2 linked regions of the Macaca mulatta genome follow. The protein of the gene in region 1 binds, or shares a complex with, the protein of each later gene. Links are inferred from orthologs where the notes say so. Each region holds a gene or a part of one and is shown in the gene's direction. Other genes may lie near its edges. The genes, in order: OSGEP and GON7.

The links.
Region 2: OSGEP (region 1) and GON7 share a complex: the UniProt entries of both Homo sapiens proteins name them as parts of the EKC/KEOPS complex. The link is inferred for Macaca mulatta from reciprocal best matches to the Homo sapiens genes OSGEP and GON7.

The regions. Positions count from the first base shown.
Region 1 is NC_133412.1:93,253,047-93,257,488, reverse strand, and holds the start of OSGEP (tRNA N6-adenosine threonylcarbamoyltransferase), read left to right. Parts: upstream 1-1,468; 5' UTR 1,469-1,878; coding exon 1,879-1,993; intron 1,994-4,363; coding exon 4,364-4,442. Other genes in the region: APEX1 (DNA-(apurinic or apyrimidinic site) endonuclease), read right to left, coding at 467-654, 860-917. UniProt on the Homo sapiens protein: Component of the EKC/KEOPS complex that is required for the formation of a threonylcarbamoyl group on adenosine at position 37 (t(6)A37) in tRNAs that read codons beginning with adenine.
Region 2 is NC_133412.1:166,458,606-166,463,067, reverse strand, and holds the start of GON7 (EKC/KEOPS complex subunit GON7), read left to right. Parts: upstream 1-1,409; 5' UTR 1,410-1,429; coding exon 1,430-1,637; intron 1,638-4,462. Other genes in the region: putative E3 ubiquitin-protein ligase UBR7, read right to left, coding at 1,026-1,175. UniProt on the Homo sapiens protein: Component of the EKC/KEOPS complex that is required for the formation of a threonylcarbamoyl group on adenosine at position 37 (t(6)A37) in tRNAs that read codons beginning with adenine.

The DNA.
Region 1 (4,442 bases):
CAATTCAGCAGAACATTTATTGAATATATGCCAAGTCATAAATATGCACAGGTTAAACAGTCAAGCAGTTCGAGGTTAAATAATATTTAAACAATTCGAAGCTAGATAAATGAAAACAGAGGTAAAGTCTTACGTGCTATACTATGAATGTGTTTTTTCTATAGGCAAGCTAAGATTTTTAAGCTATAATTAATGAAATGGAGGACATGCTGAAGATAAAATGGAGGAAGTATAGTAAAAGGTTTTTGCAACATTCTGGGAAGAGGAGAGAACATTAAAAAAGAAAATGGCAATGGAAGTGAAGGAGCAGACATTTAGGAAATACAACTGGCAAGACTGGGGAAGCCCCACCGAAAACTGCAGGCAGGAGAAAAAACAGCCTGAAGGCTATACGGAGAAAAGGGATGACTAAACCCTAAGATCATTCAATACTAAAGAATGTGTCTTCCCCTCAAACACCACTCACATCTAATCCTTTCTTCTTAATCCAGGCTCGAAGCCCATCCACGTTCCAAGAGCAGATCTTGAGTGTGGCAGGTTTGCCACTGGGTGAGGTTTTCTGATCGGGGGGGTCCTCATACAGGGCTGGGCCCTCTCCTGCTGCCTCCTTGTCATTTTTCTTTGCGGGCGTCTTACTCTTCTTGGGCTCTGGCTCTATAAAATGAGTAATATATATTGATAAAAAGTGGGTGGTTTCCAACCGCGATCCGGCGTTAGCTATGGACCCAACGAAAGCCTGCGGTTACTGCGTCTTCACAAACCCCTGCAAAAATGAGTTGGCCGGTACTTACCGTTCATCAAGGGAATTACAAACAACCCCGCCGTAGCTTCTAGGAAGAGGGGCTCATTTCATTCTTACCTGTCTTGAGCTCATCCCCGTCTTCTGCCACCGCTCCCTTTTTCCCACGCTTCGGCATTCCCGTAACGAACGCTCTTCGGCACCTGTACCGCGTCGCCCACCAAAGCAGTATTTTTACCGCGTTGCCTACAGACGCAAAGAAATCATGAAACCAGCTAAGCCTGGGGAGAAGACTCCTCTCAAGAGCGTCCCCGCACCAGGTCCCGCCTTTCAAACCATGTTATCTCTAAATCCTTTCCCCGCCTCCGTGCATCATAGGCCCTTCAGCCCCTCACCCACGTAACTAGATCATTTCATAGTGCCTTGTACCCTACTCGCGAGATCTGCCCTCCAGCCAATTGAGGATCTTAATTAAGGGTCCTGACTCAAGCTTGCCCTTCAGACTGCCAGCGAAGCCCCTCTTATGAGCAAAAGAGCAACCCCGTATCTGCACCGGTCCGATGGCAGCCTAGCTCCTCCTAACCCGAGCACAAAGAAGGATGCACGCTGAGCCCCCCACGTGGGTAGCGGACCTGGTCACGTGATCAGAGGCACGCGTCACATGGCCGAAGAATGCGCGTGATTGGTCTGTCTGACACCACGTGACGAAGTCGCTTGGCCTTGCCTCTCTCAACTAATTCTCTAGGAGACCTAGGGCCCCAACCCTCGTTCGGGCTGTTTATCGTTGTGCCCGACGCACGGCACATTGTTTGACTCTGACTTAAGAGTCTAACGCTGTGCAAAGGGAAAAAAAAGTGGAGAAGGTTGGGCTGGACCACGGGAAAGATATAGGAAAACGGATAGGATTGTAAAGCACAGAGTCGGCTCGGCGTCCCTGGCAGTTAGGAAGACAGGTCCTTGGAGGGGCCTTGGCGGGTCTCCGCTCGCGGGAGTTCTGCGCTGTCTTTCCCACTGTTATCTGCAGGCTAGCCCGCTTCTTCTGCGCTCCGGAAAGCTGCGGCCCAGCGCAGACTAGTGAGGACTTCCACAGCTCCTGACGTTGCTAGGAGTCCTGTCGGCGTTTTCTCCCAGGCTCCGCCATGCCGGCGGTGCTGGGTTTTGAAGGCAGCGCCAATAAGATTGGCGTGGGTGTGGTGCGGGATGGCAAGGTGCTGGCGAACCCGCGGCGGACTTATGTCACGCCTCCGGGCACAGGTGGGTGAGTAGGGGAGTTAAGAGTTTTCGGCGCACTTCCCCGCAGAAAATCAGCCTTCCATCTTCCTAAATACTAGTGAGGTGCAGCTTTTGATCTGAGTCTTATTGAAATTATGTGATATTATTAACGTCACAAGGCTGATGACTAGAAGAGTTACAAGCACTTGGACGTGGATCTGATGAGTTCGTTTACCGTTTATTGAGCTCATTTTATGTGCTAAGCATTCAGAAATAGATGTTATGATACTGCTGTGGAGTCAGACATATAAATAGATGTTTATACTACAGCATGATAAACAGTGTAATAGAGATGGACTCGAAATATTCTGTTTAAAAAACGCTTAGCAGGAGTATATATTCCAGTTGCCCTGAATATACACTCCTTTTTTAAAAATTTTTATTTTTTGAAATATTCTAGGATGAGTAGAGAGATGAGAGTGGAAAGACTCCCAGCTTACATGTCAGAGAACTGGCTGGCTGTGCTGTATTCACATTAAATATTTATGTTTTGGACATTTGGTCTTTATTTTTTATTTTAATTTGTTTTTGAGACAGTCTTGCTCTGTTGCCCAGGCTGGAATGCAATGGCACGGTTTCGGCTTACTGCAAGCTCTGCCTCCCAGATTCAAGAGATTCTTCTACCCCAGCCTCCCGAGTAGCTAGGACTACAGACAGGTGTGTGCTACCACACCCAGCTAATTTTTGTATTTTTAGTAGAGGCGGGGCTTCACCATGTTGGCCAAGCTGGTCTCGAACTCCTGACCTCACATGATCCGCCCACCCCAGCCTCCCAAAGTGTGAAAATTACAGGCATGAGCCACCGCCCGGGCCTAGTCTTTGTTTTTAAAATGGGAATAATACCTGTATCATTAGGTGTTGAAGATTAGATGAAAGTACCAAACACGTCTGGGTGTGGTGGCTCACGCCTGTAATCCCAGCACTTAGGGAGGCCCAGGCGGGGTGGATCACCTGAGGTCGGAGTTCAAGAACAGCCTGACCAATATGGAGAAACCCTGTCTCCACTAAAAAATATAAAAAATTAACCGGGCGTGGTGGCACATGCCTGTTAACCCAGCTACTCGGGAGGCTGAGGTTGTGGTGAGCCGAGATCATGCCATTGCACTCCAGCCTGGGCAACAAGAGTGAAACTCCGTCTCAAAAAAATAAAAAAGAAAAAAGAAAGTACAAAACACATTACAACTTTTAATAAGCCATTGTATCTTGCCTACTCTCCCCTCAAACACTTGCATACATAGGAGAGGGGCAACTGATTTCCATGTATCTGAAAAGCCTCCCTGAACAGGTGATGTGACAGATTACTCATTAGAAATAGGTATGTATGTTTAGCATTCACTCCTCTAGGCACTTGGGCACTGGGAATACAAAGATAAAATACTTATTGCTTTGAGATACTCATGATTAAGCTGAGCAAACCACAGAAAATTATTATGTTGTAATTGTTAAATAAATGACATCATCATGCACAGAGTTCTGTAGGGTCACAGAGAAAGAAGGTCACCAGGCTGGGCGCGATGGCTCAGGCCTGTAATCCCAGCACTTTGGAAGGCCAGGGCAGACGGATCACGAGGTCAGGAGTTTGAGACCAGCCTGGCCAATATGGTGAAACCCCGTCTCTACTAAAAATACAAAAATTAGCTGGGTGTGGTGGCGTCGCCTGTAGTCCCAGCTGTTTGGGAGGCTAAGGCAGAAGAATTGCTTGAACTCAGGAGGCGGAGGTTGCAGTGAGCCGAGATCGTGCCACTGCAGTCCAGCCTGGGCATCAGAACAAGACTCCGTCTCAAAAGAAAGAAAAAAAGGCGGGGCGCGGTGGCTCACACCTGTAATTCCAGCACTTTGGGAGGCCGAGGCGGGTGGATCATGAGGTCAGGAGATCGAGACCACAATGAAACCCTGTCTCTTCTGAAAGTACAAAAAATTAGCCGGGTGCAGTGGTGGGCACCTGTAGTCCCAGCTACTTGGGAGGCTGAGGCAGGAGAATGGCATGAACCCAGGAGGTGGAGCTTGCAGTGAGCCGAGATCGCACCAGGCCACTCTAGCCTGGGTGACAGAGCTAGACTCCGTCTCAAAAAAAAAAAAAAAAAAAAAAAAAAGATCACCAAAGGGTATGGGTAGATACCACTTGCATTGAGACATGAAGGCTGAGTAGGGTAAGAGGAAGAGAATTTCTGAAAGTTGAACAGCCTATATAGAAGCTGGAAAGAGTGTATCCGAAAATGTGGAAGATAGGATGCTTGGGGAAAGTGAAAGGACTCTTACTACATCACTAAACCTCCTGTTGCTTTCTTTAACTTCCTACCTACTTTTGCTACCAAAAATCCCTGTGATCTCTGACCTGTGTTCATTTTCTAGGATTCCTTCCAGGTGATACAGCCAGGCATCACCGAGCTGTTATCCTAGACCTGCTGCAGGAGGCACTAACAGAGTCTGG
Region 2 (4,462 bases), about 73 Mb from region 1:
TTTTTTTTTTTTAAGGAAAGCAGGCGAAAAATTGTTTTAGTGGTGACCAAAGGTTTTAAAATACCTGGGGCTATGTCTGGATACCAGGTTTATTCAACAATCTAGCACTTTGCAGTGTAAACTAAACTTGGTCAACAACGAGAACTGGTATTATGACCTCAGTTCATACCACATAATGAATGCAAGTCTCTCCCCTCATCTCCCCAGTGTTCCAATCCACCCCTCTGCCTCGGTAACCCTTCTTCCTGCCAGTTCTTATCCTTTGTCAGTCTTCTTCCTACCCATCCTTTTCCATTTTTGTGCCTCGAAGTATAGGGTGAGTCACTAAACACATCACACCCCCTCAAACACTTGCTCACTCACAACGTCTTCCAAATGCCAAATAGATCCTTTTCTCCTCTCTCCCCTCCCTTGCCAGAGCCACTTGCTGTTCTGTTTCCGGTCTATTTCCAGGGGAGGAGGGCAGACTGCAGACAGACATGGGTACTTGCTCCATTTTGCCAAAAAAAGAAAGAAAAAGTACTAGCTAGCACTTGTCAAACTAAATTGCAGAGGAACTAGCTGTCAAGGAGCTCACCGCAAATCCCTATGGATTTGAAAATCTCTTTAACCTGACGTCTCCCATTTGGTCCCTAATAAATAAATAAATAATCTTAGGATGGGAAAAGCAGGGACAAAGATGTCTGGATCTGAGAGGTCGCGGGCTGGTTTCGTGAAAAGCAGTGGTGCACCAGGACGAGGCTGGAGAGGACGGACAGAGCAGCTGCTCCAGGGTCCTTCCTGGCTGGCCGGACAGAGTTAGAGAGAGGGGAGATGGGGGCCCCTGCTGGACACAGGCTGAAGGGGGCCCAGGAGGTTGGGGATAAAAGGGAAGGGTGGGCTTGGGGTAAGGAAGCGGCAGACTAACGGCGGCCCCGGACCACCACTGGGGAGACGACTGCGGCAGGCGGGAATAGGGACAGCCGGGCCGGGAAGGGGAGGTTCGGCGGGAGCCGCGGGAGACAAGGCCCGGGCCGCGTGCCCACCTGCGAGTAGGAGCACTTCTCGGAGTCGCTGCCGCCCAGGACAGCACACGCCTCATTCTCCAGCTCCTCGTCCTCCTCGAGGACGTCGACCAACGATACCACGGGCTCCAGCTCCGACTGCCGCCCAGCGGAGCCCTCGGCTCCGGCCATCCTCAACTGTCACCCGAACCGCGGCTCGGCCCCGGCGGAGGCGGGAAAAGCGGCCACGAGGGGCGTAGCCGGAGGAGGCGGGGCCCGAGTGCCAGGAACCAATGACAAGGAAAAAAAGCGAAGGAAGGGGGAGGAGCGACTTCCGACAAACGGATGTCACTCCTCTCCCTTCTGCCGCCTGCGCCGGCCACGGGCTGATTTCCGCCTCCGGGTGGCGCTTCCCGGTGTCGTGTTCTGGAAGCTTAGTGGTCACCATGGAGCTGCTGGGAGAGTATGTCGGGCAGGAAGGGAAGCCGCAGAAGCTGCGGGTGTCCTGTGAGGCGCCGGGTGACGGCGACCCTTTCCAGGGCCTATTGTCTGGCGTGGCCCAGATGAAGGAGCTGGTAACGGAATTATTCGGCCCCCTGGTACAGGCGGAAGTGCAGCACCGGGTGGCGGCGGCTCCAGACGAGGCCCTGGACGGTGAGCTCTGAGACGGTGCTGCAGCGACAGGAGGACGGGGCGGGAGCCAGGGGAAATTGGCTTGGGGAGCCCGTGTAGAGTGGCAGACTTGGACAAAGTGAGCCTCGAGGAAAGAAGAATTGCATCTAAAAATTTTTGGCGGGCCAGGCGAAGTGGGGCTCACTCCTGTAATCCCAACACTTTGGGAGGGCGAGGCAGGAGGATCACTTGAGGTCAGGAGTTCCAGAACAGCCAGGGCAACATATCGAGACCCCGTTTCCATTGTTATTTCAAAGATAATTTAAAAAATAAAAATTGTTGGCATTTATCACTATATTTGGGCTGCTTCTACTCAAACATTTCCACGACTCATCGCTATTTCATTTATTTCACTAAAAAACTTGCCGAATGCCTACTACTATTTGCCAAACCCTGAGCTGAGCCCTGGAGGAAGAATGAGGTCAATGCGACTCAGTTCCTGCCCTTGTGAAACACAAGGGGATTATACAGGCAGACACTCTTATTAAAAGTGAAAGTGGCCAGGCTGGTAGCTCACGCCTGTAATCCCAGCACTTTGGGAGGCTGAGGCGAGCGGATCACGAGGTCAGGAGTTCGAGACCAGCCTGGCCAATATGGTGAAACCCTGTCTCTACTAAAAATACAAAAATTAGCTGGGAGTGGTGGCGGGCACCTGTAATCCCAGCTACTGGGGAGGCTGAGGCAGAAGAATCGCTTGACCCCGGGAGGCGGAAGTTGCAGTGAGCCGAGATCGCGCCACTGCACTCCAGCCTGGACTACAGAGCGAGACTCCGTCTCAAAAAAAAAAAAAAAAAAAAAAAAAAAAGAACGTGGTTCTATGGCCCTCTGTAAGTGTTGCAAACCCAGAGACCCTCGGAAGGCTTCAAAGAGGATAAGACTTTTGAGCTGGAGTATTGAATAAAAAGGAGTTTTATCAGGTGTGAAACTACAGACATATTTGGAAGAGTACAATCTATCGCAGAGTAGGAACAGGTTCCAAGGAGTGGGACAGACTTAATTTTAACATGTATTAACTCCTAGAGACTCCCTTACCTTTCCAGTTTTGTAGGTGCAGTTTGAAAGTAGAAACGTGAAGTTTAACTGCATTATTTTTTAAAAATTGCCTCGAATGCAGAAATAGGCAGGTACTTTTTTTTTTTTTTGAAATGGAGTCTAGCTCTGTTGCCCAGGCTGGAGTGCAGTGGCACAATCTCGGCTCACTGCAACCTCTGCTTCCCGGGTTCAAGTGATTCTCCTGTCTCAGCCTCCCAAGTAGCTGAGATTACAGGCGCCCGCCACCACTCCCAGCTAGTTTTTGTATTTTCAGTAGAGACGGGGTTTCACTGTGTTGGCTGGGCTGGTCTCGAACTCCTAACCTCGTGATCCACCTGCCTTGGCCTCCCAAAGTGCTGGAATTACAAGCCTGAGCTGCTGCACCTGGCCAGGCAGGTACATTTTAACTGTCCTGAGCTGAAAAATCCAAGAATAGATATTAGAGTTAGGATTTACAATTCTCTAAGAAGAGCTTAAACTGTACTTTCCTTCCATCTTGGGAATTACATCTTGATAATATGGATGTTGGCTATGATCAAAAAGAACAATAACAAGTGTTGGCTGGAATGTGGAGAAATTGGAGATCTTGTACATTGTTGGTGGAAATGTAAAACAGTGTAACCACTGGGAAAAAGAGTTTGGTAGCTCCTCAAAAAGTTGACATGAAGTTACCACATGACCCAGCAGTTCCACTGGTAGTCCTCGCAAGAGAACTGGAAAGTATGTTCACACAAAAACTTACACATGAATGTTCATAGCAGCAGCATTTATAGTGACTAAAATGTGGAAACAACAATTGACCGGGCTTGGTGTTGCACCTTTAGGAGGTGGGAGGATCACATGAACCCGAGTTTGAAGCTGCAGTGGGCTGATTGTTCCACTGCACTCCAGCCTGGAGGACAGAGTGAGGCCCCATCGCTTCATCTCTAAAAATAATGATAATTTTAAAAAATAGAAATAATGCAAATATCCATCAACTGATGAGTGCATTAACAAAATGTGGTGTATCCATACAATGGAATATTATTAGCAATAAAAGGTAATGAAGTATTAATACGTGCTACAACATGAATGAACCTTGAAAACATTATGCTACAGTGAGAGCCAGACACAGAAGGGTACATGTTATATGATTTTGTTTATATGAATGTACAGAATAGGCAAATCCATAGAGAGAGATTAGTGAGCTGGGTGCAGTGGTGGGCACCTGTAGTCCCAGCTACTCTAGAGGCTGACACAGGAGGATCACTTGAACCTGGGAGTTTGAGTCTAGCCTGGGCAACATAGCAAGACCCTCTCACTAATAAAAATTAAGGGGGAACAAAAGTAGATTAGTGGTTGCCGAAGGCTGAGGGGAATGGAAAGTGACTGCTAATGGGCATAATTCATTTCTCTTTGGAGTGATGAAAGTGTTCTAGGATTAGAGAGTGGTGATGGTTGCACAATCTAGTGAATATACTAAAAACCACTAAGCGGTACACTTTTAAAAGTGGATTTTGGCCGGCTACAGTGGTTCATGCCTGTAATCCCAGCAGTTTGGGAGGCCAAGGCATGCAGATCACGAGGTCGGGAGATCGAGACCATCTTGGCCAACATGGTGAAACCCTGTCTCTACTAAAATACAAAAAATTAGCCGGGCATGGTAGCGCGTGCCTGTAATCCCAGCTACTTGGGAGGCTGAGACAGGAATCACTTGAACCCTGGAGGCAGAGGTTGCAGTAAGCTGAGATCGCGCCACTACACTCCAGCCTGGTAACAGAGAAAGACTCCATCTC